3 linked regions of the Caenorhabditis elegans genome follow. The protein of the gene in region 1 purifies or fractionates together with the protein of each later gene. This does not show direct contact. Each region holds a gene or a part of one and is shown in the gene's direction. Other genes may lie near its edges.

What was found.
Region 2: the proteins of sld-2 (region 1) and T19E7.6 fractionate together in Caenorhabditis elegans (co-fractionation; one large-scale study listed by BioGRID). This does not show direct contact.
Region 3: the proteins of sld-2 (region 1) and natb-1 fractionate together in Caenorhabditis elegans (co-fractionation; one large-scale study listed by BioGRID). This does not show direct contact.

Annotation. Positions count from the first base shown.
Region 1 is NC_003279.8:3,739,626-3,743,235, forward strand, and holds sld-2 (Ribosome biogenesis protein NOP53), read left to right. Parts: upstream 1-1,825; 5' UTR 1,826-1,842; coding exon 1,843-1,930; intron 1,931-1,977; coding exon 1,978-2,177; intron 2,178-2,223; coding exon 2,224-2,277; intron 2,278-2,326; coding exon 2,327-2,470; intron 2,471-2,519; coding exon 2,520-2,599; intron 2,600-2,719; coding exon 2,720-2,903; 3' UTR 2,904-3,022; downstream 3,023-3,610. Other genes in the region: larp-5 (HTH La-type RNA-binding domain-containing protein), read right to left, coding at 632-709.
Region 2 is NC_003282.8:5,666,936-5,671,305, reverse strand, and holds T19E7.6 (SCP2_2 domain-containing protein), read left to right. Parts: upstream 1-1,802; 5' UTR 1,803-1,810; coding exon 1,811-1,936; intron 1,937-2,000; exon of another isoform or gene 2,001-2,021; intron 2,022-2,286; exon of another isoform or gene 2,287-2,385; intron 2,386-2,728; exon of another isoform or gene 2,729-2,749; intron 2,750-2,753; coding exon 2,754-2,912; intron 2,913-3,180; exon of another isoform or gene 3,181-3,205; intron 3,206-3,548; coding exon 3,549-3,638; 3' UTR 3,639-3,759; downstream 3,760-4,370.
Region 3 is NC_003283.11:7,982,112-7,985,410, reverse strand, and holds natb-1 (N-alpha-acetyltransferase 20), read left to right. Parts: upstream 1-1,979; 5' UTR 1,980-1,993; coding exon 1,994-2,071; intron 2,072-2,120; coding exon 2,121-2,211; intron 2,212-2,262; coding exon 2,263-2,392; intron 2,393-2,439; coding exon 2,440-2,662; 3' UTR 2,663-2,754; downstream 2,755-3,299. Other genes in the region: abhd-12 (Serine aminopeptidase S33 domain-containing protein), read right to left, coding at 1-6, 515-757, 804-1,005, 1,062-1,183, 1,252-1,268; F26D11.1 (Gluconokinase), read right to left, coding at 2,774-2,966, 3,120-3,299.

The DNA of each region.
Region 1 (3,610 bases):
GCCTATTAATTAAACATCATAAAGATTTGATAATAAATATATACGTCTATTTTCAGAATTCAGTGGCAGAATTCAATGGCAGAATGGGGCAAGAAGTAGACAACACACGGGAAAACTCTACGAGAAATATATCCAGGCAGGTGCAATTCAGCTGCCAGAATACTTAAAAAGTACTTTGGAAACTGTTATTCAAACGGGGGCTTTGCGTCATACGTTTTTAAGCGAAATATACTTTTTGCAGATGCAGAAAATGAACTTTTGAGATGATTCTTCCAAAATATTTCAGAATTATTTTAAAATTGAGAAAAAAAATTATCTTTACTCAAGGAAAGCACGGAGTATTTCTAAAAATTATTTCAAGCAATATTTGAACTCTCCGTGAAATATTATGGAGCGCACGATATACGACTTAAAGAAAAGTGAAACGAGATCCGGTTTTTATGGTATAGGTGCGAAGACTAAGTGAAAGTAGACGTAGAAGTAGCTGACACTTTTCGATAAAAAACCCCTACTAAAATGGGGTTTGTTAACTTTTAAAGTAGCCATTTTATTTTTCTAGTTACATACAAATCTTTAAAGGAGTGTTTCGTTACACAGAGGCACGCCCGAATGCAAATTAGATGACACAAACCTTCTGAACGACAAAGTTTCGCGGTGACACTTCTGTGCAAATGTAGAAGGCGTCCGAGTCGAGCTCGAACGTGTCCATCTCCGAAAAGGGACGTCGACGCCGTGGAGAATGGTGAACGAAGGAGAAGAAGTCAGTATCACGTCATCCGACTTATGGAAGCGAATGGAGAAGTGGGTGGTGGAGAAGAAGGAGCGTAGAGAGGGGCGACGGGCGCAGCAGCAGTGGCCAGACTCTTCTTCTCTGACCGTGTCGTGTCAGCCGGTTTTGTGAGGGCAGAGAGAGAGAGAGACACGTTGAACGACACAAAGAGACGGAGACAACGCAAAAAAAAAGTGAGAAGGGGAATGTGTGCACAATATGGTACGCAGACGACGATGTGAAAAATGGAGGGACGAATGGCAGGCAACAAGAACTGGGAAGAGGAAGAAGACGCGCTTCTCGATTGTTTTTTCTAGAGCGAAAAGCCTGGAATATACTGAAGGCAGCGGACGGGGCTCTCCTGCCATCATTAGGGACCCGCAAGAGAAATGAAATAGAAAAGCAAGGGAGATGGAGAAGAAGTATGGAAACAGAGACATATCCCTTTTCAGCAATTCTTCGATTAGTTCGACAATTTCATGGAGCCAAGGTTTTGGAGTGGAGAGAAAGTTGAATTCAATGAAAATGTCATTCGGCTAAATATTTGATAGAGGAAGATGATGTTAATGTTAAATAACAAATTATTTAGTACAATTCAAGGAATACAGCTTCAAATTAGTCAAATGTTTACAAACTTTACAATAAGGAGTTGAATTTAATTAAAAACCAAGTAGAATTATTTAAAATTTTATTCCTAATATGGAATAAGCACGCGTTTCCTAATTGACAGTTCATATTCTCTATTCATATTATCCTATTCAGAAAATTTCATCAAAATATCAGTTTAAAAGCAAGAAAATACAGAAAAAAGGCTACAAATCTGGAAATTTTCAGATAAAACGTGGAAAAAATATATAAAACAGAGCTGCGATTCAAAGCAAGCGCTGGAAAAGTGTGCGGTGGAGCGCACTTGCCACACATTTTTGGCGCGAGTTTTGAAAACAGCTCCTGGTTTTTTGGTTTTTGCTCTCATTTTCTCTATTTATTTTCTTATTTTCTTTGTTTTCACATGTTTTCTGCCGAATCTTTTCGATTTCAAATTAAATTTTTAAATTATTTTCAGCCCGAACGTAATGGAAGAGTGGAAAACGTCTTTCCGAGAGATTTATGGAAGATCACCAACGGCAGGAGATATTTCTGTAGCTCCGAATCATATTAAAGGTAATTAATGGAAAAAAAAACGTATTTACATTAAATTATTATTTCAGCTATACTTCAATCTGAAAAGAAGGAGAATGACGAGAAAATCGAAGAGAAGCAAGCGAAACGTGGAGTGAAGCGGAAGAATTTCGAAATGAAAATGATGGAAGGCGAGCAATTCAGCCCTATCAAAAAACGAGTTAATCTTAATCAGCTCGGCTCGGAAAATGATAAAAATCCAATTCCACTGAGATCTTCACCCAGAAAGGTTGATATCGCATTAAAAACTGCTGAAATTTAAAATAAAATTGCAGAAAATGATTGCGATCGAAGTTTTGCCGGAAAAGAGCATGGTGTCGCCTAAAAAGGTTTGAAACTTTAATAATCTTTATAATAATAAAATAAACTAAATTTCAGAAGCCAGTGGGATCAGTTCCGTTCGAATTCGACGACTTTTCCCCTGTGAAGTCATACTCCGCGAGCACATCAAAATCTGCCGTTAAATCTACGCTAACACCGATCAAATCTCCAACAAAACGCGCTTACCAGAGACCATTGAGGGTTTGTTTTATTTAAATACTAATTTAAAATTTCCATTTTCCTATTTCAGGATCTCAAAATGCTTCTCTTACCAACGCCGGAAAAGGGTCAAGAAGTTGAAGGTCCGGTTGAAGAATTCGATGATGAGACGTGAGTTTTAGATTTTCATTGAAATTTCGAGCTTTAATTTTCGGAAATTTGCAGATTCCAGGCTATTTTAAGCATTTTTTTGACACATTTCATGCAAATCAATCTATAATTTTTTTTCAGAAACGAAGATGTTGCCAAAGCACGTTCCTACAATCCAGCAGCCAGAAAACTCGGCGGTTCATCAAAAAGCGATCAAAACTTCCAGAAAATCAATCTGAGAAAGAAGCAATTCGTTCGCGGAAAAGTTACCGCAGAGCAGAAGCGAAAGTTGAAGAGAAAACAAATGTTCAAGAAGAAGTACTGAATATTCTAATTTGTCTAGAATTTCATTTTTACATTATTATTATTCGGATTTTTATGTATTTTATTTTATCATTCACTTATCGGGTTTTTCAAAAACCGCAATAAAAGTTTTAAAGTTTTTTTTTTTTAATTGCGTTCTGGGGCAGGAGAACTAAAGCTTCAACTTTTTTCGAATCGGAATTTTAGGGAATAAAAATAGAGTGCATTTTTTTTTGGTTAAATTCATATTACAGAGATGAAATATTGATATTTTGCACGAAAATACTGTACTCGGTCTCGAAGCGACCGATTTTTAATTATTGCAAATAAGTGTGCGCCTTTAAAGAGTACTGTAGTTTCCAATTCCTAATTTTCGCCAAATTTTCATCGATTTTTCATAGTTTTTCTCCAGGTTCTTCAAATTTTTATGTATATGTTTTATGCATTTTCACATTTTTTCGATAAATTTTCAAGAAACGGGGGACAAATTGAGATAGTCAATTAAAATATGGCAGCAACAAAAAATTTCCAACAACAGTACCCTTTAAAACCCGGTCGCTTCGAGACCCGTCTTTTTACATTAAAATCGCAAATTTTCGCAATATAATAAGCAGATTTGCAAATATTTCAGGGTTTTTTAGATTGAAAATAGTTTTGAAAGAGGAAAAATCTCTATTCAGACTTCCAACTTGAATTTTTTTTCTAATTTTTCAATTCGATGCCAAATCC
Region 2 (4,370 bases), on another chromosome or scaffold:
TCTGATTCTGAGCAAAAAAGCGTAACGTCGAGAATTTTCGTTATCTGGGAAATAGGCCTTGTAGGCAAAACAATGCCTGCCTGCGTGAATACACCTTGTATCGCTTAATTTCTAACTGTAGAATAGGCATGGACTATCTCCATTCATTCGGGTTGTAGGTACAAAAGTAGGCATTTTCTATCTGAGTTCAATTTCCACGAAAATTCTTCCTTTTTTTGATATTTCTAGAAGTTCACATAATTTTACAAAAATAAAAATACAATGCCGCGGGCTAGAAGAAAGTAGACAAACTATAAATTAAAAAACAACCGTTTTGATGTCATTATACCACTAACGTGAAACAGTGGAAATTTTCGAACGTTCCAAAATCAAGTTATTATATGAAAAGGCAGAAAATGTTTTAAAATGTTCTCTGTAGATTTTATTCGTATGTAGCAATGTATTGGCGATCTGGTATACCTGAAAAACTCTACCATGGAAATCCACACTATGATAGAAAACATTCAACATTAAATTTTTAATCTGAAAAAAGTTGTTCATGTTGTAAGAAATCTGCACACAAACGTAAATAATTTTCAGTTTCAAGAGTGTTTTCAAATTTCGCAATAGATGCCCAAATCTAGTTTCAAAATCCCATGCACTTTGTGTTTTAGTAGAGCTATTTTTATTTAACTTGACGAAACATGAACATTTTAGTTTTTTGTGTAGGTTTTCAGGTTTTTTTTCAAATACTACACTTTTTAATGTTTTACTGTTTCAGACAAAGTAGATAATTTTCAAACAATGTTTTTTAATGTATTGAAGCTAATTTATATCTCAAAAAATGCAATTGTAAATAGACGCCCACACTTAATCAAAGTATCAGAGATCGTGTTTACTTTGAGATGGTTTTCACCAATGTGACGTGGCAAAATGATTTATTTATTTATTTTTCGTTATTTTCACAAGATGCTCGAATTGTGAAGAATTAAAATGATGTAGGGTTTGAATTTTTATTACTGTTTCAAACATTGTTTGAAAATCAATGCGTAATTACTATTGCGTTCTCGGCTTTTTTGAATTTTGAAGTTAGAAATTTGCAAAATAAGAAATCAGTTTATGCTTCCAAAAATTGTGGTTTTTTTTTCTGGATTTTTAGCTATCGAAAATTAAATAATATATATTTACATCAAGAATACAAAAGAATGCAACTTTTTATAAAGTCGAGGCTAATTTTTATATTTAATTTCAAACATTCTAAAAACCCTGGAAACTCTAAATATTTACAAAAATGTAAATAATCGAGTGTGATTTTCTGTGACAAATCCTTCCTTCCAATTCTCTTCTTTTCAATTTAAAGTGCGGTCACTGCCACAGACATCTCATTTTTCACCTCCACAGCCTCCCGGCGGTCACTATTATTCCGATCCTATCTCATTCACTTTTGTTTCAAAATATTTTTACAATGGGTTCTTCTTTTTGCCTCATTCTTTTATTTTTGTTTTGTGCTTTTTATGAGTCATTCCTCTTGAGATGTGATTCTTTTTTTTGGAATGTTTACCCGTTGAGGTACTCTTTGAAACTGTTATTATTACTTTTCTTAACTTTGCCTTGTGATTTCGAATATAAAAGATACGTTATTCGTGTTTCTTGTTGACAATAGTTCATGCTTATCACCGTCCCATTTTTATCAGTTTTATCATTTTATTATCAAATTTAAATCAATCTTCTTCATTTGTTCCTATTTCTTATATTGAAATCTCAATTAATTGAAGTCCATTAGTCTATATACTTTCTTTTAATTCAACTAATGGATTCTTCAGCGACTAAAATGTTCCGAGAGAAAGACGTTTCGACACGACTCATTCGACCGACTATCACTGAAATTCACGTGGATAAACTTGCACTTTTTGTGGAAAGATGGAATCACGATTGGGAAATTGATGCAAGTATTAAGGTAATTTTAAAATTTTACTGTTTCAGAATTTTCGTTTAAAAAAGTATCACGTGACGGACAATGTTAACTGTGGTTCAACTGCCAAAATATTTTTTCGTAATTTTTAGAACATTTTCTGGAATATATTAAGCATATTATGTCTTGCAAGCTGGTTTATACCGATTAATCTTGGAGAACTAAGTATGAGTAGTTACTTCGTTTAATTAATAGAACCAAAAAGTTTCAGATTTTTCAAATTTCTGGTAAATAGCCAAAAAATACGGACTTTGTAAAATTTCAAGTAAACTTGAAATCCTAACTTCGTCGTATGTTCCTCGCATATTGGTCATCTCTCCTTTTTGCAATTTCGGTTGCCTCGTTCGTCGTATATTCGTCGTATATTGCGTCGTACATTCCGGACTTCCTTCTAAATGTATGAGCAAAATGCGAGGAATGTACGATGCGAATTGCCGAGATAGTCATGCAGATAAAAAAAACTCTGTAATGTTTTAATTAATTAGAAATACATAATAAATTATAAAATTACAAGAACAATTTTTCGGTCAATTCCCAAAATTGTAATAAAGGAAAGGCTTTTTTTTTAGGAAATTTCAAAAAATTTGTTTAAAAATTTTCGCTGTGATATTTTTCATTTCAGTACACGCAAAAAAATAGTAGGAAAAAACACCTTCTTGTGACTTTCGATCAAATATTTTTGCAGTCGAATAAATCAAAATAGGTTTAGTAAACAAATTCGAAAAAAATTACTGTTTCAACAACATTTTAAACACTTTCACTAGAAAACATGGCTACTGTACTATGTATTCATTATGTCCAGATTTTCGACGAAGGAATTGCACAATACATGCTGACTGATGTTGAATCACATTACAAATATTTCGCGGCATTAATCCTATCCAAACCAAGTTTGCGGTGCCGAATTGTTAAAGAAGAGCCAAGAGATGAGTTGGAAGAACAGGAGAACCGAATTATTTTGGTGAGACAAAATTAGGTATTAAATTGACAAAAAACAACTAATTTCCTCCAAAAAACCCCCTTTTTTGAATCAGAATCTCCCAAAACGTTTTTTTAATTACCTCCACGATGAGAACTGCAAAACCGATCCACGATTTGCTCCGACCGCTTTTGAAACAATCAAATGAAATGAATGGAATTCGAAAACACTGATCGGTTTTGCAGTTTTAATCTTTTAGAAAACTTGTGATGAAAGATGGGTCACAATTAAACATACAATGAAAATTTAGTCCCGGGAAGACGTTAAACTATTAATAAATGATTAAATCGAAATTGATATAAAAACTTGTTGAAACATGAATTTCATTTTTTTTTTAATAATTCGCACTTTCTGCATTTTGTCAATTTGTAACATCTGGAAGCCTGCCGAGTAGACACAAAACTGCCTGCCTGCCTTTAAAGCTACCTACGCCTGATCCGTGCCTACTGGCAATTATTGGTTTTTTCCGAAGGAAGAAAATTAGAAATTGATAGTTTAAACTGTTACAACTCTATACATCGGATATTATGAAAAATTTAAATCTGAGGCGGTAGGCAGGCGTGTAGGCATGTAGGCATGAGAAAAAATTTTCGCCTATTAAAATAAAATAATTTCCAGCTCGGCGGAGAAAAGCTGAATACAGAAAGCCACGGAAGTATCGAATTTCTAAAAAATGTACTGCACAAACGTGGATATCGATTCGAATAACGACAATTATACATGTTCCCCAATACACTGATGAATAACTAATGCACGTCTCTTGTCTGTACCCTCCTCAATTTGCACCCCCACAATGTTTTATTGATTAAAAAAAAGAATTGTTGAGAACCTTAATCACTGATGTTTTACCAACAACTTTTTCATATTTAGCCTGTTTATTTATTTATTCCGGTTTTCTCGTTCTCTCGTATCTCCATTTTGCTTTATGGCACGGCCTTATAACACAAGTTGAGACACACTTGTGGATGCCGACGCCCAGAGGCCCAACAAACTGAACGCCAGTACCGACAGGCACCGACCCCCAGGCATTGGAAAAAGCATGAGAGAGTTAGACGCCGAGAGATAGAGACAATGTGTCTGCGTTTCTCGGAATTTTCAGATATTTACTATTTACATTGACCTGTTCATGAAAAACTGACATTAAGCAATTTTCAGATTGCATTTTTTGCTTAAAATGATATAAAGTTGAGAACAGTTTTACAGGGAGGCCCTGTTATTGGACTGGGTCTTGCAGCGAAATGTTGTTGTTTGTCTGTAGAACTTTTACGACAAACCAAGATGTTTTATTTCTAGTTTGAAAGTATTTATATTATTAATAAATAAAATAAATTTATTTCAAAAGTTTTGATGGTCTCTAAAAGATTAGAACTGAACAAAAAATTAGTAAAAATGCTCTTTATTGGAAAATTGTCTAATTTTTTTCTCTTTTTTCTGTGCAGC
Region 3 (3,299 bases), on another chromosome or scaffold:
GAGACACTGAAAATTGAATTGAACAGTATTTTAGATGTATCGTAGTTTCTCTATTAGTATCAAGGGTGTCATCGAAAAATTTTCATTTTTTCAGAGAAAACTGAAAAAAATGTTTGATATAACAAAAAAAAATCAATTAAAAAATTTTTTTGTGTATGTCGATGATAAAAAAAATTTGGAAATGTTTAAATTTTTTTTAACAAAAAGAAAAATGGCCAAAACTTGAAGCAATTTTTCGGAAAAAACGAAACATTTCCGAATTTTGAATATGGAAGTTTCGAATTTTGATTTACACCTGCAACATATGAAGCTGTTTTTAATTTCTTGAAACCCGATTTTTCAAGAAAAAATGTTATTAATTTTGGTGAACTAGAGCTATGCTCAAAAAAGCCATCTTAAATTTGTATTTTTTGATATCAAAATCAGTCAGCATTTTTTTTTTGCATTATCCTCAGTACTTTAAAAATTGAGTTTAAAAATTTCTGATTGCAGTGAAATAATAAATTTAACTCACCCAGTTCCCATCGAATGACCCCATACAATAACAGGCGTCTTCCCGCAATTCTCCTTCAGCCATTCGTATACTGTTTTTGTATCTTCAACAATTCCTTTTTCGGTTGGTGTTCCTTCTGAATCTCCATATCCTCGATAATCGAAACAGACGACATGATAATTACAATCACTGAGCAAATTGTACATTTCCACACGATGGTAGAATGTGCGATCGAACGAGTTTCCATGAGCGTAGAAGATAATTCTGAAATTTATTGATTTTTTTTGAATTCATTCTTTGAAAATCCTACTGATTCTCTGAATCCCTCATCATATCGTCAAAATCTCTCTCTGTCGGATGTTTTCCTTCTGTTCTCCATTCTAAACTCAATTTGTTGGGCAGAATGTGCCAAACACCAATCCTTCCACTTTTTCCAGGCAAATGAAGAGATCTTCCGATTGATTTAACGTTGTTCGACGCCAAATCATTGTAATCGGTGTTCGGCAGACGTCCTTAACAAGGTAACATAGATCAAAGATAAAAGATAAGATAAAAAAGAAAAACTAACGGAAATTGAGAAAGAAGATGAACTGTGTGTAGCGTGGAAGAAAATATACCAGTATTGGAAGGAAGATGACAATTGAGAGGACTAGAATTGTGATACAGAGTAGTAGCGGTTGAATAAGTACACTGAAATTAAATTTTCGTTTAATAAATCAAGTTTTAAAATGTGGAAAAATGCCTAAATTTAAACTTACATAAAATAGCCTAGCATGATGTTGATATTTTGTTAGTTAACCGCTTCCATTCGAGTAGTCAAGTCACCTGAATGCATACAAAATGAGGTATATTAGATAGTGTACTTGAAAGTGAAAATGGAAGCAAAAAAACTGGAATTTCTTTAAAAGAAAGAGAAAAGTGGAAGAGAGAAGCAGAGGTATACACAATATACTCACCCTGCTAGTCACTTATTGATTTTTTCTCCTGTTAGTGTTTTGTTTGTACTTGATGACGGTCAGGAGGAGCGCCTGACCGCCTGACCGATTTATTTTTTGAAACACAAAAAACGAAAGAGGATAATTTTTCAACGGACTACGGTGGACAAGTCCGCAAACACCGCGCACTAAACTTGCGTACTTTAGGAATTTGCAAATTAATTTGGAATTTTACTCTTTTTTATTAATTTTTAACTTAATTAGCCTGATAATAGCTTGTTTTATGCTTAAAAATAAATCAACGAGCTGCAAAAATAATTTAAATTCTGACAACACAGCGCTATGCCCTTTACGAAATTTATTTGAACCGTTTTTAATAGTGCCACCTCGTTTTAGCACTTTTTCAACTCTTTTCCGCGTTCGCCAAATTTATTTTCCCATTTTGTTTGCAAATAACGAATTTAAAATTTGTTAACTCTCTCAAGTAATGCAATTTCTTTGTGATTAATATAACACTTAAATTTACCCTTCAATATTGCAATATATTGCAGAACTGCGAGTAAAAATGACAACTCTCCGGCCATTCGACGTTATGGATATGTTCAAGTTCAATAACGTGAACTTGGATATCAACACTGAAACGGTAAATTGCTCAGTAAATAAAAAAAATTTAAATATATTTATTTTTGCAGTATGGCTTCCAATTTTACCTGCACTATATGATGAACTATCCGGAGTATTACCAAGTTGCTGAACATCCAAACGGGGAAATTATGGCCTATGGTTTGTTTGAAAATAAATGAAACATAAATGTGAAATAGTTTAATTTTTCAGTCATGGGAAAAATCGAAGGACGCGACACCAATTGGCACGGACATGTAACTGCTCTCTCTGTGGCTCCAAATTTTCGTCGATTGGGACTAGCCGCCTACATGATGGAGTTCTTGGAACGTACTTCTGAAGCGTAAGTGATGGCAAATTAATATTTTATTAAAATCTAAGAATTTTCAGTCGTAGAGCATATTTCGTCGATCTGTTTGTTCGTGTTTCGAACAAGATCGCCATCGAATTGTATAAGAAGCTTGGATATGTCGTCTACCGGCAAATTATTGGATACTACACTGGAGATAGGGACGAAGATGCTTTTGATATGCGGAAGTCGCTTTCTCGCGATCCTGAAAAGAAAGCGATGGTTCCTTTGAATTATCTCGTGCACAGTAGAGACGTGGATTAATTTTAGATTGTTTTGTTTAGTATTTATTTATTGTTTAATGTTTATTGTGTTGGTTGTCTTGTCAGTTATGACAAATTATTAAATTTATTTATATTATTTAGATTTCTAGAATCATTCACAAATCAATGCCAGAGTCTTTACAATTGTATCAACAATTTGATCCACATTTTCACTATTCGCATCAACAGTGACGATATTTGATTCATCGGGACTCGGAAGTTCAAGTGTAGCCAGCTGACTATCAAGTAAAGTAGATGGCATGAAGTGTCCGGGACGGGAATTCACGCGTTGCTGAAGAACTTCCCTGCAAAAAATGAAACGATGAATGCGTGAAAATGTGTGAAAGTGGGAAAACGAGCGGACGGAAGCGAGTGCGAATTTGAGTTGTTTGTTGTCCATTTTCACTTTTCTGCCCATTTCTTTCACCACATTTTTTTGCGCGCTGAACATTACTTGCCTTTTTAAATTCAACAGAATGAAAACAGCTCTTCCGCTGGCTCCATTGGGAAGATGTTCACAAAGAATGGATCTATAACGTCTTTTAAGCGCAGAACAAGCGATAACGTATCCTTGATTGAGTCTTGCGTAGTTGTTAATAGCTTGAAGCCATGGAAGTCTATCAGAATCATTCAGTGGT